Linked DNA regions of Anolis sagrei. The protein of the gene in region 4 purifies or fractionates together with the protein of the main gene of each other region. This does not show direct contact. Links are inferred from orthologs where the notes say so. Each region holds a gene or a part of one and is shown on either strand. Other genes may lie near its edges.

Region 1 (7,595 bases), on a different chromosome or scaffold from region 4:
TGGGCTCTGTACCAATGTATACATTCATAGCAATTCGGTTAAATACACAGGCAAATTTAATACATATGTCTTAACTAATGTGGTAAGACTATTCATAGACAGGAAAGTTATCTAGCAGTAAAATAGACACAAAAGTAAACAGGGCAAAATATGTGCTTGAGTACATGGTGGGAGTTTCACATGATTATGGCAAGATGCCTCTCCCAGCAAACACACTGCCCTGCAACATAAGGCCTAATGATATGCTATCCATTTTGGAATTATGTTTCAGATTTGTTTCCAAGTCAAAATGGTTAGTAAAATCTCATAACTCATTAAACCACTTGTAAGTTTTTGTGCGATTGTAACATGCTGCCATCGTGGAATATACTGCTTTGAAATTAGGTTCGTTTGAAAAATCCTGTATGTCTTCCCAGATTTCCTTTCAAGTTAATCTTAATATTACACACACACAGCTATTCACGTTTTCCTAGATTATGGGATATAAATTCTCATATTCCTAGAATAGTGCATACAACTCCATATAGGATCTCTGTATGGGACTCTTACAGCAATGCTGCTGAAACCGTAATAGGGATGAGAAAATGTGACATGGGGCCCTTCCACGCAGCCCTATATTCCAGAATATCAAGGCAGAAAATCCCACATTATCTGAGCGTGGACTCACATAACCCAGCTCAAAGCAGACATTGTGGGATTTGATATTCTGGGATATAGGGCTGTGTGGAAGGGCCCATGGTGGAGCCTCCTAAGTAAATTTTACATCAAAGCAGCATGCCAAAACAGCAACACTTCTCCATAATGTTACAGAATCACAAAGGTTTCAATAATCAGAGCAAATAACTGTTTCGGACATGCATTCAGAAGGATCTTCTTTATTGCAACTGTTGTCTTGTTGCCAACACACTTGCATCACAGGCCCTTTCAGGCTTCTTAGGGCCCTTCCACACAGCCATGTAACCCAGAATATCAAGGCAGGTAATCCACAATATCTGCTTTGAACTGGGTTATCTGAGACCACACTGCCATATAATGCAGTTCAATGTGGATTTTATACAATTGCATGGAAGGGTCCTTAGTGAGACAAAGCCAAACCTTTGGTTTTTCTTACTTACACACTGACCTCCATATCCAAGCTATGTCTGAAATCTACAGCCCCCTTCAAGCCACTCATACGACTTATATTAAGCTAGTTTCTGTGAATGTTTCTCCATTGATTTATATCCCTATTTACTCAAATAATAATAAAAATAATAATAATAATAATAATGGATCGTCGATGTTGCAATCCCAGGCGACAGCAGGATTGAAGAGAAACAACTGGAAAAGCTGACATGATATGAGGATTTAAAGATCGAACTGCAAAAACTCTGGCACAAGCCAGTCAAGGTGGTCCCAGGGGTGATCAGCACACTGGGTGCAGTGCCTAAAGACCTAAAGACCTGGGTGCAGTGCCTAAAGGCACTGGGTGCAGTGCCTAAAGACAATCAGCGCTGACAAAATTACCATCTGCCAGCTGGAGAAGGCCACCTTACTGGGATCTGCATACATTATTTGTCGATACATCATACAGTCCTAGACACTTGGGAAGTGGGTTGTTGTAGGTTTTTTTCGCGCTATATGGCCACGGTTTAGAGGCATTCTCTCCTGATGTTTCGCCTGCATCTATGGCAAGCATCCTCAGAGGTAGTAAGGTCTGTTGGAACTAGGAAAAGGGGTTTATATATCTGTGGAATGACCAGGGTGGGACAAAGGACTCTTGTCTGCTGGAGCTAGGTGTGAATGTTTCAACTGACCACTTTGATTATCATATAATTGCCTGACAGTGCCTGGAGCAAACCTCTGTTGAGAGGTGATTAGATGTCCAGTTTTCTCCAGCAGACAAGAGTCCTTTGTCCCACCCTGGTCATTCCACAGATAAATAAACCAATTTTCCTAGTTCCAACAGACCTCACAACCTCTAAGGATGCTTGCCATAGATGCAGGCGAAACATCAGGTGAGAATGCCTCTAGACACGGCCATATAGCCCGAAAAAACCTACAACAACCCAGTGATTCCGGCCATGAAAGCCTTCGACAATACACTTGGGAAGTGTCTGACGTGTGATCCAATACAACAGCCAGCAGAGTGATCTTGTCTGCTGTGGACTCATCTTGTTGTGTTTCAAAGAATAATAATAATAAACTTTATTTATACCCCACCATCTCCCCAAAGGGAACTCACGGCAGCTAACATGAGGTCAAGCCCAGAATTACAGTACAACAAAATAAAATATAAACAGCTAATATCAAATTAAAATGCATAAATTGAAATAAACTGATGCAAAATAACACCTTTTTTTTTACATAATTACCTCTACAAAATAAGGCTGCACATTAGAGGACCCTTCCACACAGCCTTATATTCCAGACTATCAAGGCAGAATAATCCACAATATCTGTTTTGAACTGGGTTATCTGAGTCCACACTGCCATATATCCCAGTTCAAAGCAGATAATGTGGGATTTTATTCAGCTGTGTGGAAGGGGCCCTACTGTTGGAAGCTTTGGTGTTTTTACACATTCTTTTAAAGCAGCAATGCTAAGCAGACAGCCACTGTAATATATCCTAAAGGAGGCCTCCTCCAACTGGGGCCCTCCAGCTGTTGAGGCCTCCAACCCCGAGAAGCCCTTGCAAGTTCAATGGCCAGGTATTCTGGGAGTTGGAAGCCCAACTGGACCTGGTCTCGCCTGGCCTTCCCTGCGGATCAGGGCGCCCCTCAGGAGGGAGGCCCGGGTCCCACGTGGCGGAGCAGCCCTCCCCGCATGCAGCGCCCCTCCGGAGAGCGACAGGGCCCGGCCTCGCCCCCCACAAGGCCCTCACCACGCCGGCCGCCTTCCCGAACGCGCGCGCCGCCCCGTCGAAGTGGTTCTCCCTCAGGAAGGCCAAGACCAGCGGGAAGAGGTCGCTGGGCACCACACGCGTCTTCGCCGCCATCTTGCCGCCGGAAAAGGACGCAGCCCCGCCCCCTGCCCCGCCCACGAACCTTGGAAAGGAGCGGTTGGTTGGGAGGAGAACATAGAGATAGAAATAGTTAAAAGAGACCTCACGCTCTGAACTTCCGGCTGTGCGAGTTCAAAACCATGGTCATCATTAAGGACCTTTCACACAGCCCTATATCTCAGAATATCAAGTCAGAAAATTATCTCTGTATGGACTCAGATAACCCATTTTAAAGCAGATATTGTGGGATTTTCTGCCTTGATATTCTGGGATATAGGACTGTGTAGAAGGGGCCTTAGAGGTTAGTTTGAATCTACACATACAATGCACTTTAACTGCATTTAACTGCATTAGTAAAGTTTGTCCCCTGACATTAAGTCCAGTCATGTCTGACTCTGGGGTGTGGTGCTCATCTCCATTTCTAAGCCAAAGAGCCAGCGTTGTCCGTAGACACCTCCAAGGTCATGTGGCCGGCATGACTGCATGGAGCGCCATTACCTTCCCGCCGGAGCGGTACCTATTGATCTACTCACATTTGCATGTTTTCGAACTGCTAGGTTGGCAGAAGCTAGGGCTGACAGCGGAAGCTCACATTGCTCCCCAAATTCGAACCTGCGACCTTTCAGTCAACAAGCTCAGCAGCTCAGCGCTTTAACCCACTGCGCCACCGGGGAACTGCATTATAGAGGTCTATACCCCTGATTTCCAACGTGGGCCACATGCTCCACATACATTTGATTTGTAAGGGGGCAATTCGAGAAAGAATTATATTAAATGACCAAAGTATTACAGAAAAACCTTCCATTTACATTTATACTTAATCATTTTGGTCCTCTATTACATGTTTTGGAGTTATATTTGTTTTTTCCCATATTATTATGTTAACGATTTTATAGTGATTTCTTCCTCAGAATTTCAACTGTCTGTTCATTATTTGGCTTTTCTCTTTCATGAAGGCCATGTTCTTTGGAAGCTTGATTAGACCGAGTTAATGGCATTTTCTGTCCCTTCCAAACAGCTGGATTATATGGCAGTGTGGACTCAGATAACCCAGTTCAAAGCAGATATTGTGGGATTTTCTGCCTTGATATTTTCGGTTATATGGATGCGTGGAAGGGCCCTGAGTCTACACTACCTTATATTCCAGTTCAAAGCAGAAAATGTGGGATTTTATTCAGCTGTGTGGATGGGGTTGTAGTCGAAGGTGACCCCCCCCCCCCCACTTCCAATAAAAGATAGTTTATAATCAGGGAATGCATAGTTTTGTCACTAAGGAGGTTGTTCAGACCTTGAACCGGTGCTTGGTTGCTGTGTTGGACAGGATGAGGGCTAACAAATTGAAATTGAATCCAGACAAGACAGAGGTCCTCCTGGTCAGTCGAAAGACCGAACAGGACATAGGGTTACAGCCTGTGTTGGACGCGGTTACACTCCCTCTGAAAACGCAGGTTCACAGCTTGGGAGTGATCCTGGATTCATCGCTGAGCATGGAAACCCAGGTTTTGGCGGTGGACACGGGAGCTTTTGCAGTTAAAACTCATGCACCAGCTGCGCCTGTACCTTGGGAAGTCTGATCTGGCCACGGTGGTCCACACTCTGGTTACATCCCGAATAAATTTCTGCAAAGGGGCTGCCTTTGAAGACAGTTTGGAAACTTCAGTTAGTTCAACAAGCAGCAGCCAGATTACTAACTGGGGTGGCATACAGGGAGCATACCATCCCCCTGTTATGCCAGCTCCACTGGCTGCCGGAACATCTCCGAGCCCAATTCAAAGTGCTGGTTTTGACCTATAAAGCTCTATACGGTTCGGGCCCAGCTTACTTGTCTGAACGCATCTGCCCCTATGTCCCACCTCACAATTTAAGATCATCTGGGGAGGCCCTGCTCTTGCTCCCGTCAACAGTGCAAATGCAGCTGGCAGGGACAAGGAGCAGGGCCTTCTCGGCTGTGGCCCCCCGCCTATGGAACACACTCCCAAAGGAGGTAAGATCTGCTCCCTCGCTCCTGACCTTTAGAAAAAAATTAAAATCATGGTTCTCGGACCAGGCCTTCAAACAATAGATGTATGCAGCTTTTAGTGGAACCAGGACTGGAACGGTGACTCGACTGATTAGATTGTTTTATGGTTTTAATAGCTGTTTTGATATTTGGGGATGTACCGTTTTTAATATGATTTATGTTTAAAGTGTGGTTTTACTATTGTAGTTGTAAGGCATTTACTTTTTGCCATTATCTATGTGTAAACCGCTTTGAGTCCCCCTAGGAGTGAGAAAAGCGGTATATAAATACTGTAAATAAATAAATAAATAAATATTCTGTGATATAGGGCTGTGTGGAAGGGCGCCTAATCTTCTCTAATGGTCACAGAACAGTCATTTTGATTGAAAAATGCTTGCGTAGGATCACATGAACTATTTACCCTTATTGTTGTTCTAAATCAGTTGGAGCAAAATTCTATACTAACTCTTATACTTCAGATGAGTCCTTCAGTAGGTTTATTTCTGGGTAGAGATACACAGAAGAACACAATGTCTCTGTCAAAGAAAGGAAAGCTTGGCTTTGCATAGGACTGGGACAGAGAAGTTACTTTTCTGTTACTAAATTATTTGAAATTTTGTTACCTGTCTTGTATTGCTCTTTACCCCAGTCCCCCTGAGACCAATCAGGAAGGTGGCTTTTCAATCTGGCAGTACAATTGTAATTGACAAAATTTCAGACGCCCCTTCTACACCGCCATATAATCCAGATTATCAAAGCAGATATCTTTGAACCCGATTATATGAGTCTATATTGCCATATAATCCAGTTAAAATCAGATAATCTGGATTTTCTATGACAGTGTAGAAGGGGTCTGAGACTGTAACATAATCACAATTTTCTCCTCTATGATTTTCACAGCTTTGCCTGATGAAGAAGTCATGAAGCTTTGGCCCCTTTACACTGCCGTTTAAAATCCAGATTGTCTGTTTTAAATTGGATTATATGGCAGTGCAAATTCATATAATCCAGTTGAAATCTGGATGTGTTTTGACAATCTGGATGATATGTCAGTGTAGAAGGGGCCTTTGGCCCCTTCTGTACAGGCCCGATCTCCCAGGGTCTGACCGCAGGTTTTCTGCTTTAAACTGGATTATATGAATCCGCCCTGCCAGATAATCTGGGATAAACAGGAAAACTGGGACCAGATCCTGAGATATAGGGCCTGTCTGGAAGGGCCTTTGAAAACTTGTGAACATTTTCTGGATGCCACCTGGTGGCTGTATTAGGCTTTTAAACAAACCTATCACATAATGTTTGCAGTGGACTCTGCAGAAAGTGCTTCAGCAGTACTCCACAAAAAGGAAAAACAGCCTCTTTAGTATGCCTTGCAACTGATGATTTATATTGAATACATGCTTGACTTGTATACCTATTTTATATACCTACTAGCTGTACCCGCCACACGTTGCTGTGACTAACCTTCCCTCCCTCTTCCTCTTTTTTCTTTCTCTACTTCCTTCCTTCTCTCCCTCTTTCCTTCCTCCTCTTTTTTCTTTCTTTCTTGCTCTCCTTCCCACCTTCTCTTCCTCTTCCCTTCCTTCCTCTCACCTTTTCTTTCCCTTCCTCTTTCCCTCCTTTCTTCCTTCTCTACCTATTCTTGGACTGCAACTCCCAACAGTCCTCCTGATCCATCTACCTACCTACCTATCTCCATCTAATCTATCTATCTGGAGGATTGCTGGGAGTTGCAATCCAGTAATAGGAAATTGGAAATATGCAGGGATTAGGATGCTCTCAAAGAAATCCAAGGAGAAGAAAGCTTGCAGCTTGGAAGCAGTGCATTTGGATCATCCTCCTCTCCTAAAGGGTCTGGTCTAGGGGATGTTGGGAACTGTAGTCTGGAAGAGGGTTTGGATATGCTATTGTGTGTTTTGTTTGCCAAGGGGAGTCACTTTTGCACATGTAGCGTTTTTTTGCTTTTTTGGCTTTTCAAGTCCCTGTGTTTTTCAGTGTTTTTATGTCTGATGGTCACTTGTTGGCCTGATAAGTATATTGTGTCCAAATGTGGTGTCAATTCATCCAGTGGTTTTTGAGATATGTTAATCCCACAAACAAACATTATATTTTTATTTATATAGATATATGTGAAATCACATAAAGATTTTTTGGGAGGAACAGGTTGTGAGTGGGAAAAGTTTAAGAAGGCCTGATATAAAGCATCACTGCTAGTACTGTTGAGTTTAGTGGAACTTACCTACATACAGACTGGCCTGTAAGGGATTCACTTGCCCAGCCTGATGTTATGGTCCGGTCAAGATGACTACCTGCAGCTATGACTTTCCTGTGGGGAGCAGTACATGGTACCTGACTAACCATGGAAAGGAAACAAGAAAGAGTACCACAGGGATTAGCAGAGCAAACAAAGAGATTCATGCCACAATTATATAATGAGGAACTCACGGGGTCTGTAAGGGAAGGTCTACTGCTCATGGTTTTCCTTTCTGGTATAAACCACCTGCACGGTAGGAGGGCTAGTTCTGCTTTCCACTACTCAATGTGACGTGCAAGAAAACATAATGGAGAGTCGCTCAGGTACTTCCCTGCAAGAGAAATGTGCTGGTCCATATATTT
Region 2 (6,861 bases), on a different chromosome or scaffold from region 4:
TCAGCTCTTCCTCAAAGGTGACAAGAATATACATCTACCAGTCACACCCCCACTCCTGACATGAAATCTGGAACTGGTTCTACCCCAACTCTCCAAGCTGCCATTTGAGCTAACTTCCTTTCATGGAAGATGGCATTCCTGGTCACAATTACTTCAGCTAGATGTGCTTGCGAACTGTGTGCATTGCAAGCAGCTCCGCCTCATCTTCATCTCCACAAAGACAAGGTGGTCCTTCGCACGGACATTACCTACTTACCAAAAGTCGTCTCCCACTTCCATATGTGCCAAGACATCATCTTGCCAGCGTTCTTTCCAAATCACTCTTCAGCCTTGGAAGTGGCCCTTCATTCCTTGGATGTGAGGAGACTGTTGGTTTTCTATGTCCATAGGACACCATCACACAGAAAATCACCAAGATTATTTCTCAAGTATCGCAGCCATGCTTTGAGCCAACCAATCACCTTGCAATGTCTTTCCTCTTGGATCATGACAACGATTTGTCCGCCTTGTCGATTCGCTGGCTGTCAACCATAGCAAGTCAAGGCTCACTCAAGTCAGGGCGATGGCTGCATTGCAAGCCTTTTTGCATGGAGTCCCTCTAGAGGACATCTGCCGGGTGGTGACGTGGTCCACTCCACTCAGGTTCGCCAGCCATTACACACCAGATGCCTTGCACATAAAGGAAGCGGCCTTTGGCAAAGCTGTACTTCTCCCTTCACTGGCATGATCCTTCCTTGGGGAGTAGCTTGCCAATCACTCATATGTGTGATTTCACAGACACTACGAAGAAGGATGAGTTGCTCACTTGTAACCGTGTTTCTTCAAGTAGTGATCTGTGAAATTCGCACATTCCTGCCCATCTTCCCTGCTGTTAGCATGCTCCTTCTCCTTAGCTGCTGGTCTAGCAGATGGGAGGCTCAGCCCTGCCCTGGGATACTTGCACTCTATGGGGAGAGTGGGCAGGGCTATCACCAAAATGTTTCATTTTAGAAATCTAGAAGGTTCTGAATTGCACCATGCATGTGCGGACAAACCCAGATGTGCGAATTTCGCAGATCACCACTCAAAGAAACATATACAGGTAAGCAGCTCGTTCTTTCTCCTCTTCTATTGACCACAGCTACATCATTTAAGATGTGGTAAGTGGTTTAGATACTAAGCACATACTTAATAGTAGTAAAATAAGAGGGATACATACTTCCTCCAGCCGGTGTTGCAATCGCTCACGTTTCTTGCGAAGCCGTTCCAGATCTCGTACGATCTCTTGACACTCAGATAGAAAGAGAGTCTCATCAGCGCTCCTTTCTGCGGCTGGCTTATGGAGAATTTGCGACACCTATGATTAAACAAAAAGATAAGTGTCTGGACACTTTCATTAGAAGCCATCCCATGAGTGGAAATAGCTCAACAAATCCTGGGTAGAGTGTGTAGTTAGTCTGAAACTAAAATTCTATACAGTCTTCCCATGACATCCATAGAGTCAATCAACCATGGCTTGAAAATATTTGGGGGTGAGTGGGGAACACTTCTAGAAATCACTTTGAGTTGTTCAGCATTTTATATAAGGAATGCCATTTTGTGTATAACGAGAGTTGCGCATCCCATGAATTTTGGGATCCACAGGGGTCCTGGAATCAAACACAACTGGACACCAATAATAATAATAATAATAATAATAATAATAATAATAATAATACTTTATTTATATTCTGTTATATCTCCTCAAAGGGAGGGTGGATTCCAAACATAAAAGGCAAACATTCAGTGCCCGAATACAACAACAACTGCATCCATACTGACAAAATTTAAACAACCCAACATATAAACACAAACACATAAGACAAAACATCAAACACCAAGGGCCCAATGTACACACTTGCTTGGGAATAATTTAGTGGGCTTTATTTCTGAGGAAACAGAGGACTGTTTCATTATGCATCAACAAGAAATAACTGAATAGAATTGCTTACAAACACCTACACACAATTTTTAAAATTACTCTTCAATTAAGTATTAAAAGGCGAGTGTACTCTAATAAGAACTTGTTACATAAAGGAGGCCTTGGGGATGATTCTTGCTGCTAAGTACACTTAGCTATAAGCCCTGAACTAGCCAGTATCAATGCTGAAATATTTGAGAACACTGCTTACAAACCAGGAAGGTTTTGAAGAACTAGTTTTGGTTATGAGTGGAGTGATGGACCGAAGCTGGTTCTACTGTGCCATATAACACAGTTTGAACTGCACTGAAATGCAGTATATGGCTCTACGCTGACCATACAATGCCGTTCAAACTGTATTATATGGCAGTGTAGAACCAGCCGGAGGCACTGTGAGACCAGGATCTGGTTCCTTGCTTGGCCAGGGAAACCTTGGGCAAGTCACACTCTCTCAGCCTCAGAGGCAAGCAAAGGCAAAGCCCCTCTGAACAAGGTCCACCTCAGGATCGTGAAGAATTAAAATAATTTAAAGACACACAACAAAGACTGTAACATTGAGACAGCAAGGGGAGCTATAACGGTTAAGTGGTCAGAAAAGAGAGTGAAAGACACTCTTTCCCTTCTCACGTCACACTGAAGCAGAATGGCAGAAGATTGAGGACTGGTAAAATACGCCCCTCTTCACACAGCACAAAGCGGCACGACGGGCAGAACCACGGGCAGTTGGGCACAAGGCCCGCTCAGGGAAGGGGGCGTGTGCCCGCTCCCCCTCCTCCTCCTCTGCCCTCCGGCCTCGTACCTCAGTGGCACTCCCCGCTGTACCTGTCTGCGCCGCTCCCGCTGTTCTTCCTGTCGGAGGAACTCGGCCCGAGCCGCCGCTTTCCGTTCGGAGCGGCTCAAACTCCGACCAGCCGCCATCAACCCGGGCGCTTCCGGGTGCCAGCCGGCCTCGGCGGCTGTTCCCGCTACTTCCGCTTCCGGCCTCCTAGAGCAGACACACAGGCTGCTGGAGTGGTCTTTGCTCAGTCCTCAGAGGCGCTTCCGGTCCAAAAGGGGAACGGCTTTGCTTCTCTAATGTCGGATGGCGCTTCCACCGTAAGGCGGCCGAGGAGGAGAATGCTCGCGCGACAGCCGCCTCTCTGTGACGCCCGGAGGAAGCTTCTCGCTCTCCGCCCACTGGCCCGCCTCGCCCCCTCCCCGCCCCAGCCCCGCACTCTGGCCGAGAAAGACCCGCCACTCCCCGCATTCTGGAGCCATGGCAGTTAGAGCAGTGTCAAACTGCATTCATTCTACAGTCTAGATACACCACCGGAAAAGTATTGTTCACAGTGGAGAGCTCAAGGGGAACCTGTCTTGGGCATTCCTGGGCTCTTTAGTGCTGCACGTAATATGTAGTAATAATAATAATAATAAAATAATAATAATAATAATAATTAAAAATCGAACTGTAAAGACTGTGGCACAAGCTAGTCAAGGTGGTCCCAGTGATGATTGACACACTGGGTGCAGTGCCTAAAGACCTTGGCCTGCACTTAAACACAATTAGCACTGACAAAATTACCATCTGCCTGCCGCAAAAGGGAACCTTACTGGGATCTGCACACATTATTCATCGATACATCACACAGTCCTAGACACGCCAGAAGTGTCCGACGTGTGATCCAATTCAACAACCAGCAGAATGATCTCTGCTGTTGACTCATCTTGTTCTGTTTCAAATAATAATAATAATAATAATAATAATAATAATAATAATACTTTATTTGTACTCTGCCCTAGGGGACAGGGTGTACATATACACACATATATACACACATACATATTTTAACTTACGTGTGTGTGTGTGTGTGTGTGTGTGTGTATACACACACAGTAGTGTCTCGCTTATCCACAGAACACTGTATAAGTGAAAATGTTGGATAATAAGGAGGAGGGGTTAAGGAAAAGCCTATTAAACATCAAATTACATTGTGATTTTACAAATTAAGCACCAAAAAAACATGTGCTTTGAGGCAAGTGGAATCCACGACATGGGAGTGTGGAGAAGAGCAAACCACAGCAGACCACCTACTGCAATGCAGCCTGAGCCCTGCCACATGCACAATGGAGGACCTTCTTATAGCAACATCAGAGGCACTCCAAGTGGCCAGCTACTGGTCAAAGGACATTTAATAAAAGTTTGCAAATTTTGTGTTTTGTTTCTTTGTTTTAATGCAAGACAACTGTTTGGTTCGCTCCTGACACAATAAAATAAATAAATGAGGGATTAAGGAAAAGCCTATTAAACATCAAATGACATTATGATTTTACAAATTAAGCACCAAAACATCACGTTTTACAACAAATCAACAAAAAAAGCAGTTCAATACACAGCAACGTTATGTAGTAATTACTGTATTTACAAATTTAGCACCAAAACATTGCAGTGTATTAAAACAGCTGTGGGTGGGGGCAGGACACAGACTGCATTGGATAATACAGAACGTTGGATGAGTGAAGGTTGGATAAGCAAGACTCTACTGTATCTATCTATCTCTCCCTCTCTCTATATATATATGAGCAGGGAAGATCACTATGTTCCTGTCTACCAACTATTTAATGTAGTTCAACGCTAGCTTCAAACTGCTGTGGCCAGGTGGTAAGTTTTCACCAAAACATGCAAAGGAAAGCTCCCATTGTGCACCAGTGCTCTGTGGTTTGTACTATCACCTTCCAGGCCGCAAACTGGTTCCAGGGCTTCCTCTGTAATCATCTGCACAGCAAAACCACTTTCTTCAATACCACTTTGAAACTACACTTAACAGCCCGTGTAGATGGGGCCTAGGTGTTCCTAATACATTTTTCTTAGCTGGATAAGAAGAGACAGCTATGTGCAACACTCTCTTCTGTGGTTTGTGTGGCCATTGCCAGAGTGGCTACCGGGCTTTTAATTATTATGTAGAAAAGGGAATTTTAACATGTACTGCGTGTTATCTGGTTTCCATTTTGTCCCACATGGTGTTGAACATATACATGAAACCGCTGGGAGAGGTCACCCAGAGTTTTGGAGTTTGGTGCCACCAGTATGCAGATGTCGCCCAACTCTACTACTCCTTTCCACCTAATGCCAAGGAAGCTGTTCTGACCCTAAACCAGTGCCTGTCATCAGTAAGGGACTGAATGAGGGCAAACAAACTGAAACTTAATACAGGCAAGACAGAGGTAGTCCCGGTCAGTGGAAAGGCATATCAGGGAATATGGATCCAGCCTGTGCTGGATGGGGTCACAGTCCCCTTGAAGACTCAGGTCTGCAGTTTGGGGGTTCTCCTGGACTCTGCACTGAACCTGGAGGCCCAGGTATCTGCGATGGCTAGGAGGACCTTTTCTCAATTAAAACTTGTGTGTCAACTGCACCTGTGCCATTGGAAGCCAGATCTGGCCACTATGGTACACACCTTGGTTACATCCCGTCTGGATTACTGTAACGCCCTCTACATGGGGCTGCCTCTGAAGAATGCTCAGAAACTTCATCTGGTCCAAAGAGCTGCTGCCAAGCCGCTCACTGGGGCTGCCTATAGAGAGCAGATAATTCCCCTGTTGCAGCAGCTCCACTGGCTGCCAGTCTGTTTCCAGGCACAATTCAAAGGCTGGTTATGACCTTTAAAGTCCTAGACGGTTCAGGTCTAGGATATTTGGCTGACCGCATCCCATATTGGGATCTTCAGGAGAGGCCCTTCTTTCAGTCTCATCTCAAGCTCAGTTGGTGGGAATGAGAAAGCATAATCATCTATAGCACTACTGGGATACAGTATATCTGTGGTTGTGCTTCGTCTTCTTAGACCTCTGCAGTGAAGAAATGTACACATTCACACAAGACCCAACTGCCCTTCCACACCACTTAAATTACATTATTGGCCTAAATTCAGCACTGGCAGCACAGGACCTTGTATTAGTAGGGCAAATGTTGTTGCACTATTTTTGTTCTGTCAAACTAAAAACAGGCATTAGATACCCGAAGGCTACAAAACCAGCCCAGATTTCTCTTTAAAAATGCAAAGGCAATGAGACCAAAATGTTCTTTTAGAACACAACAAAGTATACAGGAGAGTTATTGGGCATCAATGGAGAGGCCAATGCAATTCTAGGTAGCAGACAAAACTGAAGAAAGAACATCCTATTTATCAGGTATAAAGCATAACGTATAATTTGCTGAGAGATGCAATACCTGAAATGGAAATCCAATATTGTGGAAAGTGTTTCACCTTTGTCACTGTAATCCTTCTATCACCATCAGCTGGTATGCTCTGGCTTCAGCCAGACCAAATAAGCCTGATGGTAGTGGTCTTGACATTGGTAACCTAAGCTCCACATGAAGCTACTCTTAAACTTGGTCTGGAGCTGCAGCCAGTGCAGAATACTTTGCTTTTGCATTGGCTGCCTCTTTGATACCAGGATGTTTAGGTTTTGTTAACAGTTTATAAAGCTTTCTGCAACATGGAATCTGAGTATCTCACACAGTTAGGTCTTTGAATTCATCTGGAAAGACCATCATGGTCCACTTCAGGTTGTTCAAAACAGGATTTTCAGAATGCTGGCTCTGAACGCTGATACTAGACGAATGCCAACCGTTTTTTTTTTTGTTTTTTTTTTGGTGCATGTAGAGACTTCCTAGTGCAGATGTTTTAGTGTTGTTACCATCTATTTCATGAATGGACTATTTTATGAAAAAACAATGTTTAATCATTATTTTATTAATTGCTTTTTATACTCGTATGTTTTATTATTGATGCACAACTCCTTTAATAACTTTTGAATGTGTGCAGAAACTCTTCTGGATGTGTTGTTTAAGCTTTTCAGTGGCCAAAATGCTTTGCAAACCAAAATAACCTGGGCTCCACTTTTCAAGCAACTCCACTTTTCTTACAGTGCTCTGGTCCCTAACT
Region 3 (7,577 bases), on a different chromosome or scaffold from region 4:
TATTAAAAAGCAAACATTCAATTTAAAATCACACAACATCAGAAATGCAAAATGGACAGTTATAAACTAATTACCAGAAAAGAATTAATGTTAAAGTAATACAAAATACCCACTTAACTTTCAACATGAGTTTTGATTTACACTCTATTGTTACTATATGTCAATTCTGTATCTGCATTTGGTGCAAGTTTGTTATATTTTTGTGTTTTTAATCTACGTAATTAATTGTATGTGTTTTATGTTCATGTGTTTTTGACTTTGTTGTACCTGCCTTGAGCAATCAGAAAAGGTGGGCAATAAAAAATCCATTGTTATTATTCTCACTCCTGTTTGGATCTATTGTAGGGATAGGGCAAAAACCACATTCGCTTTTGCTTTAGCTAAGAAATAACAACATGATGAAAGCTTACACATTTATGTCTACATATATACAGTACCGTTCTTGCAATATTTGTGCAAAATTTTAGGGCTCTTAAAGAATGCAAAATTATAGTGCTGTGATTTCACTGAACATGCCATAGTTGCACCTATGGACTCGTGGTTTTTGTAGTTTAGGGAGGAGTTGTCAGTAAGACACTAGTTCTGGTGCTTAATGAACTGAAAATCCCAGGATTACACTCACAGAAATGAAAATGAAACGGATGCTTAAGAGCAGCTTAGAGCAACCCTAGGGTCCAACAAAAGCATGGGAGGGGTTCAGTGAAAAATCTTAAAATTCACATTTGAGAGGAATTTTAAAATAAAACTACAAAAGGCTAACTATTAGATTTACGGTCTCCATAATATTGATAGTAGTATCAGTTATGTAGTTACTGGCTACACATCTGAACAGGAGTGATTCATAGGCAACTGATTCCACATTTTTTAAAATTATTTTCTTTCTTGTTCTGTTTTTGATATGAAAGACATTTGGGGGCACTGGGATATTATTCATAAAAAATCAAGAGTAAAAAAATACTCAAAACCTAGATATGATTATTATATAAGAAATTAGGAAATGTGTTTAATTTAAGTGTAAAATCATCCAGAATATATTTTGATTAAACAAACCAGGGATAGGGTTCTGGTCGCTTCTGGTGAGTGTCGTGAGTTCTGGTGAGCTTCTGGTGAGTTCTGGTTTAGCATGGTGAGTGTGGAACATGTCACATTATCACAGGGTGTCTGTGCCGTGCACCACTGGAGAAATTACACTATTTAGCCGGTATTGCACCACTTGACATCCACCAGAAAGTAGCAACCAATAGTGAAAGGACCAAGGCAGTGACCTCTCCGGCCCATTCCCTGCTTGGATATCAGCCAGCACTCCAACAACCTAAATCAAGAAATAGTTTTTTTAAGATCTACAGATGCAATAACTGGAACACCTCAGCATTTTGTAGATATATGTTTTGATGTGTAACTTTTATGGAGGTATGTTTTAGTGTGTGTATTTGCAGTGTTTTTGCTGTGCTTATGTATTTTAAGTGTTTTGTAACCCGCTTTGAGCTACAGGGAGCTGGATAAGAAATAAAAATATTATTATTGTAAGTAATGTAGGCAAAAGTATGATAGTTCGGACCCAATGCTGGTTGCGTGATGCGAAGATGTTACGAATTTGAATGTGTTTGCATACGATATCCGGATAGCCTTAAGCACTATGCTTGGCTGCTTGTTGTCCCCCCTACTTTATGTCCCCCCCCCTTCCTGCTGAGCTAACTTGCCACGACTCTGTTGCACCTGTGTCTCTTACTCGCTGCGTTGTCTCAGCATTGGGTCCCAGCTATCATACTTTTGCCGTAACGCAGTTCAACTGCTATCGCTCAGTGTTATCGAATGGGATTTGTAGTTTGCTGAAGCAGCCACAGCTTTGGCAGAGAAAGCATCAGATCTTGCTAAATCCATAGCACTGAGTCATGGAAGTGAAAGTGGTCACAAACTGCATGAATTCTACAATGTTGATCAGGCATGGGCCAACTTCGGCCCTCCAAGTGTTTTTGGGCTGCAACTTCCACAATTCCTAACAGCCCTTGGGCTGTATTGTCAAAGGCTTTCATGGCCGGAATCACTGGTTTGTTGTTGGTTTTTTCGGGCTATATGGCCATGTTCTAGAGCAGTGGTTCTCAACCTGTGGGTCTCCAGGTGTTTTGGCCTACAACTCCCAGAAATCCCAGCCTGTTTACCAGCTGTTAGGATTTCTGGGAGTTGAAGGCCAAAACATCTGGGGACCCACAGGTTGAGAACCACTGTTGTAGGTTTTTTAGGGCGATATGGCCATGGTCTAGAGCAGTGGTTCTCAACCTGTGGGTCTCCAGGTGTTTTGGCCTACAACTCCCAGAAATCCCAGCCAGTTTACCAGCTGTTAGGATTTCTTGGGGTTGAAGGCCAAAACATCTGGGGACCCACAGGTTGAGAACCACTGTCCTAGAGGCATTCTCTCCTGACGTTTCAACTGCATCTATGGCAAGCATCCTCTGAGGTAGTGAGGTCTGAGGATGCTTGCCATAGATGCAGGCGAAACGTCAGGCGAGAATGCCTCTAGAACATGGCCATATAGCTGGAAAAAACCCACAACAACCCAGCACTTAGGCTGTTAGGAATTGTGGGAGTTGAAGTCCAAAACACCTGGAGGGCTGAAGTTGGCCCATGCCTAGTGTAGATGTGACTTTGATCTACCCACTATTTCTCAGGGTGCATCTACACCGTAAAATGAATATAGATTGATACCACTTTAAATGCCATGGCTCAAAGCTCCGGAAGCAGGGCAGCGGTCCTTTAAAAACGCTTAAGATGTATAGATGAAAAAAGAGTAAGTCTCCATAAGCAGGCAAGGCGAAAGAGCCTTTTACTGACTCCCTTCCGCCTTGCTTTCCTTTACAATGTTTCCGGACAGAAACCTTCACCTCCCTGCCTTGTATCTAGTCTCTCCGAAAGGTGCAATTACAGAACCGGCCCTTTTGGTACCAACCTTTTGGATCTTGAGCTCCTCCAGCTGCGGCGGCGCTTCCGGGAATGGCGGCCACGTGGGAGCCTATGGAGGCGGCCATGGCGCGTGACGTCAGTACCCTGCGCCCGGAAGTGTCAGCGCCTCCACTGTATTGCTGCTGCTTTTTACTCACCTCCTAGAGGGTGAATTAGCTAGACTGTGTGTCTCTCCCTCCCTGGCTGATAATAAAAAGAAGATGCGCAAGAGGATCACAAAAACAACAACAGAATCGAAAGACTATAAACAGGAAGGGTTAAAATAGTTTACATTGCACCCCACTCCCATCATTGGGTCATTATGCTTCACATCACAATCATAGAATCAAAGAGTTGGAAGAGACCTCATGGGCCATCCATTCCAACCCCATTCTGCCAAGAAGCAGGAATATTGCATTCAAATCACCCCTGACAGATGGCCATCCAGGCTCTGTTTAAAAGCCTCCAAAGAAGGAACCTCTACCACAGTGGTTCTCAACCTTGCTAATGCCGTGACCCCTTAATGCCGTTCCATATGTTGTGGTGACCCCCAACCATAATATTGTTTTCGTTGCTACTTGATACCTGTCATTTTAGTACTGTCATAAATCATAATGTAAATATCCGATATGCAGGATATATTTTCATTCACTGGACTAAATTGTGCACAAATACCCAATATACCCAAATGTGAATGCTAGTGGGGTTGGAGGGGGTGGGGGGTGGGGAGGATTGATTTTGTAATTTGGGAGTTGTAGTTGTTGGGATTTATAGTTCACCTATAATCAAAAAGCATTCTGAACTCCACCGGCGATGGATTTAAACCGAACTTGGCACAAAGAACTCCCATGACGAACAGAAAACACTGGAAGGGTTTTGTGGACATAGACCTTGAGTTTGGGAAGAACTTCCTGACTGTGAGAGCCATTCACCAGTGGAACTCTGCCCCGGAGTGTGGTGGAGGCTCCTTCTTTGGAAGCTTTTAAACAGGGGCTGGATGGCCATCTGTCAGGGGTGATTTGAATGCAATATTCCTGCTTCTTGGCAGAATGGGGTTGGACTGGATGGCCCATGAGGTCTCTTCCAACTCTTTGATTCTATGATTCTATGAGTTGTAGTTCACCTATATCCAGAGGAGCACTGAGGACTCAAACAAGGATGGATCTGGACCAAACTTGGCACAAATGCTCAATATGCCCAAATGGGAACACTGGTGGTGCTTGGGGGAAATAGACCTTGACATTTGGGAGTTGTAGTTGCTGGGATTTATAGTTCACCTACAATCAAAGAGCATTCTGAACTCGACCAACAATAGAATTGGGTCAAACTTCCCACACAGAATCCCAATGACCACCAGAAAATACTATGTTTTCTGATGGTCTTTGGCGACCCCTTTGACACCCCCTCACGACCCCCTCAGGGGTCCCGACCCCCAGGTTGAGAAACACTGCGTCTACCACACTCTGGGGCAGAGAGTTCCACTGCTGAACGGCTCTCACAGGAAGTTCCTCCTAATGTTCAAATGGAATCTTCTTTCTTGTAGTTTGAAGCCATTGTTTCGCGTCCCCGTCTCCAGGGAAGCGGAAAACAAGCTTGCTCCCTCCTCCCTATGACTTCCTTTCACTTATTTATACATGGCTATCATGTCTCAGCTTTCTCTTCTTCAGGCTAAACATGCCTAGCTTCTTAAGCCGGTCCTCATAGGGCTTGTTCTCCAGACCCTTGATCATTTTAGTCACCCTTCTCTGGACACACTCCAGCTTCTCAATATCTCTCTTCAATTGTGGCGCCCAGAATTGGACACAATATTCCAGGTGTGGTCTAACCAAGGCAGAATAGAGGGGTAGCATGACTTCCCTGGATCTAGACACTACACTCCTATTTATGCAGGCCAAAATCCCATTGGCTTTTTTTTGGCTCATGTTTAACTTGTTGTCCACGAGGACCCCAAGATCTTTTTCATACGTACTGTTTCGAGCCATGCTTCCCCCATTCTTTGCTATAAACAGGAAGGGTTGAAATAGTTTACATTGGACCCCACTCCTATCACAAGCTTACCCCATCATCAACAGGGCATATTGTCAAATATTTAAACATGGCTCGTCATGTCACCTTTTAACTACCTTTTCTCCAGTCAAAACATCTGCTCTTTAAACTGCTCCTCAATTTGGATGGTAAAACATCAAAACATCCAGGCGTCCCCTGGCAATGTCCTTGCAGACGGCCAACTCCCTCACACCAGAAGCGATTTGGAGTTTCTCAAGTCGCTCCTAACATGGAAAAAACAAAAACAAAACCATTTTCATTGCCCTTTTCTAGAAATATCCCAGTTTTGTATCATTTCCAGAGACTGAAAACTTTATAGACTACAGCTCACAGATTCCCCCAAAGTTCATTGGCTAGAGTGTTTGGTATTTGAAATATGACACATATGGAGGACTGAAAATTGAGAAACACTGTGAAAGAAAGTCCTTAATACACATCAGTGCTCTACGATTTGTGTAATCATCATTGGGCCTCAAACTGGTTTCAGGATTTCCTATGTAGTCATCTACACAGCAAAGCAACTTTTAAAAAATAGTTTGAAATGGACTTAAGTGGTCAGTGTAGATGGGCACTAAGTCTTGTTTGAAGATGCTGGGAATTTAATTTAGAACTGCTTGCCCTCCAAAATGTGTGCTATGGTGCAAGTTACAGTTCTTCTCTATAGAAACGTGTCTGAAAAATCTCTCTCTCTCTCTTTGCACAACTACTGTTCATAAAGGAGTCAAATTTTCTCTTGAAACAAAGCCCTTGACAACGTCTCAGTGTTAAAATTATACTAAAACTTCTGTAAGCACAAAAATTATATCTGTGGCTTAATCTACTTGTTCTGTCGCGCGCTGGGCCTGTAACAGCTGTCTTTTCTATAGGACGTATACTTTAAGCCCAGCGGGAAGCCAGGGCGCCTCAAAGAGAGGTTCTCAGGGATTTTTCTGAAGTAATGGTCTTTAGAGTCTTTAATGATACAACAAAGTCTTTATTGTGGAACAAACAACAAATCTTCAATGGTTCAAACAACACTTCAAGGCTTTCTTAGTCTAGTCTTCAATGGACTGGTACCTGACTTTGGTTAACTGAACTTTCTCTGTAGAAAAAAACCCTTTTTAACCTCTCCCAGGCTGCTTTCTATCTATGCCTCATCAGTGTGAGTCCTACTACCGATTCCAAATGCGTCTGGGTATCGAGTAGACCTACCAGCCGAGGCTGGAAGATATTTCAGCTGGAGTTCAGTGGATCTGTAATGCTGTCCTCCCTTCGAGAATTCTTTGAAACTTCAGGGCTGTTTTCCCTCTGTTGCTGTGAGGCTGAGAGCTCTCAGCCAGAGTTTTTGGGACCTTTTCCCTGGAATTTTTGTTTCTGTATCCCTGGATGTTCCTTTTCCCTGGATGCTCTTAAGATAAGAAGCTTTTCTATGGGATGAGCTGGTCTATGTCCTATAGTTTAGCTACCTTGTGTGAGACTGCCCAAAATGGCTCCTTTCCCTCCCAGAAGCCTGAACAAGGGGCGGAACCAAAGCTTAATTAAGATGGACAGGAGGCCTGCCCTATAACTGCAAACTTTAACAGAAATAAATAAAGTTGGAGCTCCTGGTACATCCGTACCAGCACACTACTTGTGTTAGCAGGAGAAGGGGAATTACCATATTTTCTGGCGTATAAGACGATGGGGCATATAAAATGACCCCCAGTTTTTCCAGTTAAAATATAGAGGTTGGGATATACTCGCTGTATAAGACTACTCCTCCAACGAACACCAAATATTTCTTTTTAAAAAACATCTGATTTGATTTCAATATGGTAATTTTCCTATTACCGTACTTCCTTCTCTGCCTCTCAGATCTCACACATGCGTGTCTGCTCAGCTTCACTGCACTCCTCAGGAGCAAGATCTGAGAGGCAGAGAAGGAGGTGCAGTAATAGGATACAAGGGCAGGCCAGACGGGTGAAAGAGGTGTGTTTTTCTGGGCACAGCACTGAGGTGTGTTTTTCTGGGCACAGGATGCCTGCAGCTTACCCTCCCTTCACTTACACTTCCCTAATGAGGCACCCCCTCGCCTTGTCATCGGGACTGCGTTAAGTCCCTTCTTTCCACGAATCTTGGTGAGTGGATTTTCTTATACCATACTTGCACAGCGCTGCCCTTGCTCCTTTCATACGGTTGCCGCTTACTGTGGGATGCGTCCGTGGCTGTTTTTGAGCTCCCTCACCATACATTAGTTGTAATGTATTGTTTTATATGATTGTGGGGCATTAAATCTTTGCCATTTATTATGTTGGAAACTGCTTTGAGTCCTCTTAGGGATTGAGAAAAGCAGTATAGAAATACAATAAATAAATAAATAAAATATGCAGCAACCACAGATTCTCCGGTCCGACTCGGAAGTTTCAGCATCCGCCCTATAAGACCACACTTGCCGTATAAGAAGACCCCCGACTTTTGAGAAGATTTTCCTGGGTCAAAAAGTAGTCTTATACGCCAGAAAATACAGTATCTCTCTAGGAATTTGCTAGGTCCTGCAAGTGATTCTGTAATATACCAAAAGTTGCAGGGGAGGACTTAGTAAATTCGTTGAGGTCCTTCAATTCTATAGTGCGTTG
Region 4 (7,145 bases):
CTATGGAGATTTTTAAAACAGAAACTGGATAGTCATCTGCCGGGGGTGCTTTGATTGGGTGTTCCTGCATGGCAAGGGGTGGGAATGGATGGCTCTTGTGATCTCTTCCAACTCCAATTATTCAATGCTTTAAAACACATATAATTCCAATACCACTAAAAATTTAAATTAAATTCGCATTTGCAGTAGCATTTGCAAGGAAGCAAGACTGAGAGCAGGCCTTCCCAGACGATCTTAATCTCTGAGGTGGTTCATAGAGAGAGATATGATCGGACAGGTAAGCTGGAACTGTTTAGAGCTTTATACGCTAAAGCCAGCACTTTGAATTATGGTTGGTAGCAGACTGGCAGCCAGTGGAGCTGGTGCAACAATATTCTCCTCAAACAATTTGGAACCTTGGGGTAGCTTCTTAAGCTTGTCCAAATAGCACAAAGAATATCCTGATTCCAGAAATCTTATCTTCCCTAAATATCAGCTAACTCAAGCATGGACAAAGTTGAAGTCCAAAACACCAAACAGGTGTTTTGGACTACAACTCCCATAATTCGTAACAGCCTACCCTTACGAAATGTGGGAGTTGAAGTCCAAAACACCTGGCGGGCCTAAGTTTGCCCATGCCTGAGCAAGTTGTTGTTCAGATGGAGCTATGAATTCACAAGTGTTTTTCTTTTTCCATGTTCTCAATCTTTTGTCATTTTTGAAAAAACTAGGACACAATGGAGAAATAGCTTCAAATGGCAGACAAAAACCTAACTACCTTCGTGACTGCATTTCCTTCCACGAACCTACACAACCCCTTCGATCTTCCGGAGGGCCCTTCTCTTGCTCCCGCCTCCATCGCAAGCGCGACTTGTGGGGATGAGGAAAAGGGCCTTGTCTATAGTGGCCCCTCGGCTTTGGAACTCGCTCCCCGGAGAAATTAGGCAAGCGCCCACCCTGGCAGTCTTCAGGAAGAGCCTAAAAACTTGGCTGTTCCAGTGTGCCTTCAATGAATGATCAACAATCCCTGACCTTGACCAAACCCTGCATAAAATGCCCTCGGATGCACTTTATTTTATCCTCCTGGAACACCTCAGCAAACGAGAGTTCAAAAGTGGCAGGCTCAAACCCAGCACCTCAATCCATGGGTGATACCAGATGAGAGACTCCCCCCTGGGTACACAGAAGACTGGGCGACTTGGAAGGCGCTGAACAGACTGCGCTCTGGCACCACGAGATGCAGAGACAATCTTAAGAAATGGGGCTAAAAAGTTGAATCCACGACATGCGAGTGTGGAGAGGAGCAAACCACAGACGACCTGCTGCAATGCAACCTGAGCCCTGCCACATGCACGATGGAGGACCTTCTTGTGGCAACACCAGAGGCACTCCAAGTGGCCAGATACTGGTCAAAGGACATTTAATCAGCTACCAAGTTTGCAAAATTTGTGTTTTTTTTATCTGTTTGTTTGTTTTGTCCTGTTAGAAATGTAATACAATGTTCTGGTTGCAGATGACACGATAAATAAATATCCTCCAGTGCAATTAAACCCCATTGTTTCGTCCCATCAGATCCTCCTTCCAGATACACTACACTGCTCATCCCACCCAGTGTTTTAAATCTTTTTAACTTTGCAACTGGCCCTGCCCACTGTGCCCAATTATTGTGCTTTTAATTTGCACCGTGTGTGTTACTTTGTAATGCTTCTTGTATTTTATTTTCATTATATTTTTACTGTTGTATTTTTATGTTGTATACTTGCACTGTTGTAATTGTTGGGCTTGGCCTCATGGAAGCCGCCTCGAGTCCCCTTGGGGAGATGGTGGCGGGGTATAAAGTTTTATAATAATAATAATAATAATAATAACACGAGGAAGAACTTTCTGCCGGTTACTGCTCCTACTACAAACTTGGGAGTAATCCAAAAAAGGAACTTCTGGCAGCTTCTTGTATTTTATTTTCATTATAGTATTTTTATGTTGTATATTTGCACTGTTGTAATTGTTGGGCTTAGCCTCATGTAAGGCGCCCCGAGTCCCCTTGGGGAGATGGTGGCGGGGTATAAAGTTTCCAAGTTACCTATCCGATCGCATCTCCACCTACAAACCCACTAGGACTTTGAGATCTTCCGGGGAGGCCCTGCTCTCGATCCCGCCTGCAACACAGGCACGGCTGGCGGGTACGAGAGACAGGGCCTTCTCGGTGGTGGCCCCTCGGCTGTGAAATGCCCTTCCCACGGACATTAGATTGGCTCCCTCTTTGATGGTTTTCCGGGGAAAAGTGAAAACCTGGCTATTTGAACAGGCGCTTGAATAAGCAGTGCAATGACTTCAGGAAATGGAACCACGACTGACGAGTTTGGATCATGATTGTAGTTATGAGGCACCACTTGAATGTTTATTACTGTTAAATTGTTTAATTTGTTTCTGTGTTAATTGTTTTTAAGTATCTTGTTGATGCCGCATTGAATTTTTGCCTGATTGTTTGCCTTGTTCTTGCTTGATTGTTGTAAACCGCCATGAGTCGCCTTAGGGCTGAGAATAGCGGTATACAAATGAAGTAAATACATAATTAATAAATAAAGAAGAAGAAGAAGAATTAAACACGAGGAAGAACTTTCTGCAGGTTTCTGCGCCTACTACAAACTTGGGAGTAATCCAAAAAAGGAACTTCTGGCAGCTTGGACTGAAAATAAACCGAGCGTGAAACCCACCTCGACCTCCTCGGAAGCCTCCGCGTCCACGATCCCCGAAGCCGCCGCGTCCTCCGCGGTCCCCACGTCCCCCGCGAGGGCTGAAACCTGCAGGACGAGCACAAGGTAGACGTCAGGCCGGGCTCCGGGCGGCCTCTCGGGCCCTCCCTCCCTCCCTCCGGCCTTAAGGGCTCCCCTCCTTCCTTCCCTCTCCTCGCTCTCACCGGGCCTCATCTTGCTTGCCGATCACAGACCGCACGAACGCCACACGCGCCTGAAATTCCAAGACCGGAAGTGCAAGCACGCAGAGCCCCACGCGCTCAGGATCCCTTGGCGCACCGGAAGTGCGTGAGCAGGCCGGGGAGGGGGCGGGGTAACGTAAGCCCGCCTCAACTGACGTCGAGCATTCTACGCATGCGCTGTGCGGGCTTTCAATTCCAGGCCTTTTCGCTGCCGTTTGCTTGTTGAAGTCGGCGCCATCTTTGTTCCGTTTCCAGCTGGAAGGTCAGATTAGGCCCATGGCTGTTTGTGTCTGCTCTGGCGCTTCTGTGAATACAAGGCGCCTCCACAGAGAAATGGAAAACTGTAGCGACATTTACAAAATGTCCGTTATTATAATAACTTTGGCTAGTTTCACTATCTGAGGGGGAGGCCACAAGGAGGCGCCAGAGAGAGAGAGAAGGAGAACCCATTTTCCAAGGGAGGGAGGGGCTGAAGGAGTGAAACCATTTCCTCGTTTTCCTGTTAATTCTCCCCACCCATGCTGCCATTTTGGAAACAACCAGCGCTTATGATATTGGAAAAGAAGGGATAACCAGAGAAAATGGAGAAAAAGAGCTGAACAAGTTCCTGGACCACCTCAGCAGCATCCACCCAAACATCCAATTCACTATGGAAAAAGAAAATGAAGGAAAACTGCCATTTCTAAATGTCATAGTAGTTATCTGCAAATTATTATTATTTTATTATTATTATTAAACTTTATTTGTACCCCGCTAGCATCTCCCGAAGGACTCGATGCGGCTTACAAAGGCCAAGGCCTCAACGCACAATACAACAATACAAACCAAAGGCAAATTAAAAACAATTAAAGCAATATAAATAAACAACAAGCAATAAACAATACACTAAGACACAATAAAACTGGGCCGGGCCAGAGTAATGGGTACAGGATTAAAAGTGCTGATGTGACAGGTGGTATATAAGGCTTATAGGGCAAGTGCAGTGTGCAGTAATCTTAGTTTTAATAAAGTGCTTCTGGGACTTGGTATTGGAGATTTCCTATTCTGGGAAGGCACATCGGAACAGCCAGGTCTTCAGGTTCTTTCTAAAGACTGCCAGTGTAGGGACCTGTCTAAGATCTTTGGGGAGGGTGTTCCAGAGTCGGGGGGCCACCACAGAAAAGGCCCTGTCTCGTGTCCCCACCAAACGCGCTTGCGACGCAGGCGGGATCATAAGCAGGGCCTCTCCAGCTGACCGAAGTGAGGGCGTGGGTTTGTAGACGGAGATGCGGTCACGCAGGTAGGATGGTCCCAAACCGTTCAGGGCTTTGTAGGTAAGCACCTGCACCTTAAATTGGGCTCAGAAAATAAACGGCAGCCAGTGGATCTCCTTGAACAGGAGGGTTGACCTCTCTCTGTAAGGGGCCCCAGTTAACATCCTGGCCGCTGCTCGTTGGACCAGTTGGAACTTCCGAGCCGTTTTCAAGGGCAGCCCCACGTAGAGCGCATTGCAGTAGTCCAATCTAGAGGTGACCAAGGCATGGACCACCCCGGCCAGATCAGCCTTCGCGAGGTACGGTTGCAAACCCAATCAATAGTTGAGTCACAGAGTTTACAGAAAACCCACACATATTGATGTTGTTGCTTATTTGTTCAGTCGCTTCCGACTCTTTGTGACCTCATGGACCAGCCTGTCAGCCGTCACCACCCCCAGTTCCTTCAGTCAAGCCAGTCACTTCAAGGATACCATCCATCCATCTTGCCCTTGATTGGCCCCTCTTCCTTTTTCCTTCCATTTTCCTCATTTCTATGAGTTCTATCTCATGGGGTTCAACATGCTCTTTGATTGTAGGTGAACTATAAATCCCAGTAACTACAACTCCCAAATGTCAAGGTCTATTTCCCCCAAACTCCATCTGTGTTCATATTTGGGCATATGGAATATTCGTGCCAAGTTTGGTCCAGATCCATCATTGTTTGAGTCCACAGTGCTCTCTGGATGGAGGTGAACTACAACTCCCAAACTCAAGGTCAATGCCCACCAAACCCTTCTAGTGTTTTCTGTTGGTCGTGGGAGTTTTGTGTGCCACGTTTGGTTCAATTCCACCATTGGTGGAGTTCAGAATGCTCTTTGATTGTAAGTAAACTATAAATCCCAGCAACTATAACTCCCAAATGATAAGCTCAATTTTTTGAGTGGTGGTCACTCATTGGCCTGATAGGTGTCTTGTGTTCAAATTTGGTGTCAATTCGTCCAGTGGTTTTTGAGTTAAGTTAATCCCACAAACGAACATTACATTTTTATTTATATAGAAGATATTGGGGAGAACTGGAGCTAAAGAGGCAGAGCAAGCAGGCAAATAAGTGTCATATCATTCAGAGGACCTCAAATCCTGAAATAATTAAACCATGGCTTCCAGAGTGTGACGGAGTATTTGTTGCCCCACTGCAGGAAGCACGATCAATACCAAGTGCTAGCACATATATTAATTTTGTTGTTGTTTATTTGTTCAGTTGCTTTCGACTCTTCGTGACCTCATGGACCAGCCCATGCCAGAGCTCCCTGTTGGCCGTCACCACCTCCAGCTCCTTCAGAGTCAAGCCAGTCACTTTAAGGATACCATCCATTCATCTTGCCCTTGGTTGGCCCCTCTTCCTTTTTCCTTCCATTTTCCCAGCATCATGATCTTCTCCAAGCTTTCCTCTCCTCTCCTTATGTGGCCAAAGTACTTCATCTTTGCCTCTAATATCCTTCCCTCCAGTGAGCAGTTGGAAGTATGGACTGGTTGGATCTTCTCGCGGTCCAAGGCACTCTCAGAACTTTCCTCCAACACCACAGTTCAAAAGCATCTATCTTCCTTCTATCAGCCTTCCTTATGGTCCAGCTCTCACATCCGTAGGTTACTACAGGGTATACCATTGCTTTAACTATGTGGATCTTGGTTGCCAGCGTGATGTCTCTACTCTTCACTATTTTATTGAGATTGGTCATTGCTTTCCTCCCAAGAAGTAAACGTCTTCTGATTTCCTGGCTGCAGTCTGCATCTGCAGTAATCTTTGCACCTAGAAATACAAAGTCTGTCACTGTCTCCACGTTTTCTCCCTCTATTTGCCATTTATCAATCAGTCCAGTTGCCAAAATCACACACAGATAGATACCTATATAAATACTCCAACCATCACCCAAGTCAAAAAAGAAGTGAAGGTGCACCGATGGGGGGGGGGGAGGGGGCACTCCAAATGCCCAAACTTAGGGGAGTTAATGTCAGGGGACAACCTTTACCTTTTACCTACACTTTTTAAAGTCTTTATAAACTTAAAATAAACCCTCCCCACACATATACACTACATAATCCTTTCCCTTAATAACCTTTCCCACACTGTTCTGTACAGTACATGTACTGTACCTGTTTCTTTTAAAACACTCCTGAATCTTCCGCATGGGTAGCTGTGCATGAGGTTTCCTCCTCCTCCCCCCCTTCCCCCGGGGCTCCCCGTACCTGCCTCCCTGTCAGTGCGGTGGCAAAGAAGGAAAGAAAGCAAGCCCTCCTCACCTTTCCCTTCACCAGGTGAAGAGAGAGAACGCAGGAAGGAAAGGCCCTTCAAGGGAGAAAGGACCGAGGAGGGAAAGTGTGTTGGAGAGCGAAGGCAGCAAAAACCCATGAAACAGCAAAAATACCGCGATATATATTTTAAATTAATATTTATTGAAAAACCGCAAAACAGCGAGTCCGCTAAAAGCAAACCGCGAAGTAGCGAGAGAACACTGTATCGACAAACATGCACATAGGAATGCAATCAAAGGTTTGTCTGCAGAGCTTTTATCATTTTTGGCATACACATTCTCATTGGTTCCCACAGACAAATCATTTCATTGGTCTAAGCTAGCTTTACAGCTGCTCATTGGTTGTTTATGATTTTGATTGACATATTATCACATGTGGGACCCTAACAACTATAGTACAACTATAGTCTATTGTTTCTGACCATGACTGCCTTAATGAATCAATCATATCTGTTAGTCTGTTTCAAACATAATTCCAGAGGGCCTGGTAAACTAGAGGGTTCTAGGTATCCACTAGCTAGCTGGTTTTGTCTGGATGTACTGTTACCCTTCGCAGCACGATTTTCTCAAACAGACAGCATTTTCTGTAAACAAAGGCCTACTGCAGAAACAGGCCAATATGGCAGTAAATCAAAACATATGGGCATTGGGAACATCTCTGAAAATTTCCTTTTAAAACTACATCTC

What was found.
Region 1: the proteins of FBL (region 4) and NOLC1 fractionate together in Homo sapiens (co-fractionation; 3 studies listed by BioGRID, with this or other methods). This does not show direct contact. The link is inferred for Anolis sagrei from reciprocal best matches to the Homo sapiens genes FBL and NOLC1.
Region 2: the proteins of FBL (region 4) and SIRT7 purify together in Homo sapiens (affinity purification with mass spectrometry; 3 studies listed by BioGRID, with this or other methods). This does not show direct contact. The link is inferred for Anolis sagrei from reciprocal best matches to the Homo sapiens genes FBL and SIRT7.
Region 3: the proteins of FBL (region 4) and DDX24 purify together in Homo sapiens (affinity purification with mass spectrometry; 3 studies listed by BioGRID and IntAct, with this or other methods). This does not show direct contact. The link is inferred for Anolis sagrei from reciprocal best matches to the Homo sapiens genes FBL and DDX24.

The regions. Positions count from the first base shown.
Region 1 is NC_090023.1:147,385,033-147,392,627, forward strand, and holds the start of NOLC1 (nucleolar and coiled-body phosphoprotein 1), read right to left. Parts: upstream 3,003-7,595; 5' UTR 2,978-3,002; coding exon 2,864-2,977; intron 1-2,863. UniProt on the Homo sapiens protein: Nucleolar protein that acts as a regulator of RNA polymerase I by connecting RNA polymerase I with enzymes responsible for ribosomal processing and modification.
Region 2 is NC_090022.1:113,750,483-113,757,343, forward strand, and holds the start of SIRT7 (NAD-dependent protein deacetylase sirtuin-7), read right to left. Parts: upstream 3,024-6,861; 5' UTR 2,858-3,023; coding exon 2,762-2,857; intron 1,337-2,761; coding exon 1,199-1,336; intron 1-1,198. UniProt on the Homo sapiens protein: NAD-dependent protein-lysine deacylase that can act both as a deacetylase or deacylase (desuccinylase, depropionylase, deglutarylase and dedecanoylase), depending on the context. Specifically mediates deacetylation of histone H3 at 'Lys-18' (H3K18Ac).
Region 3 is NC_090021.1:317,347,347-317,354,923, forward strand, and holds the start of DDX24 (ATP-dependent RNA helicase DDX24), read right to left. Parts: upstream 3,015-7,577; 5' UTR 2,945-3,014; intron 1-2,944. UniProt on the Homo sapiens protein: ATP-dependent RNA helicase that plays a role in various aspects of RNA metabolism including pre-mRNA splicing and is thereby involved in different biological processes such as cell cycle regulation or innate immunity.
Region 4 is NC_090034.1:87,654,760-87,661,904, forward strand, and holds the start of FBL (rRNA 2'-O-methyltransferase fibrillarin), read right to left. Parts: upstream 3,022-7,145; 5' UTR 2,907-3,021; coding exon 2,897-2,906; intron 2,781-2,896; coding exon 2,694-2,780; intron 1-2,693.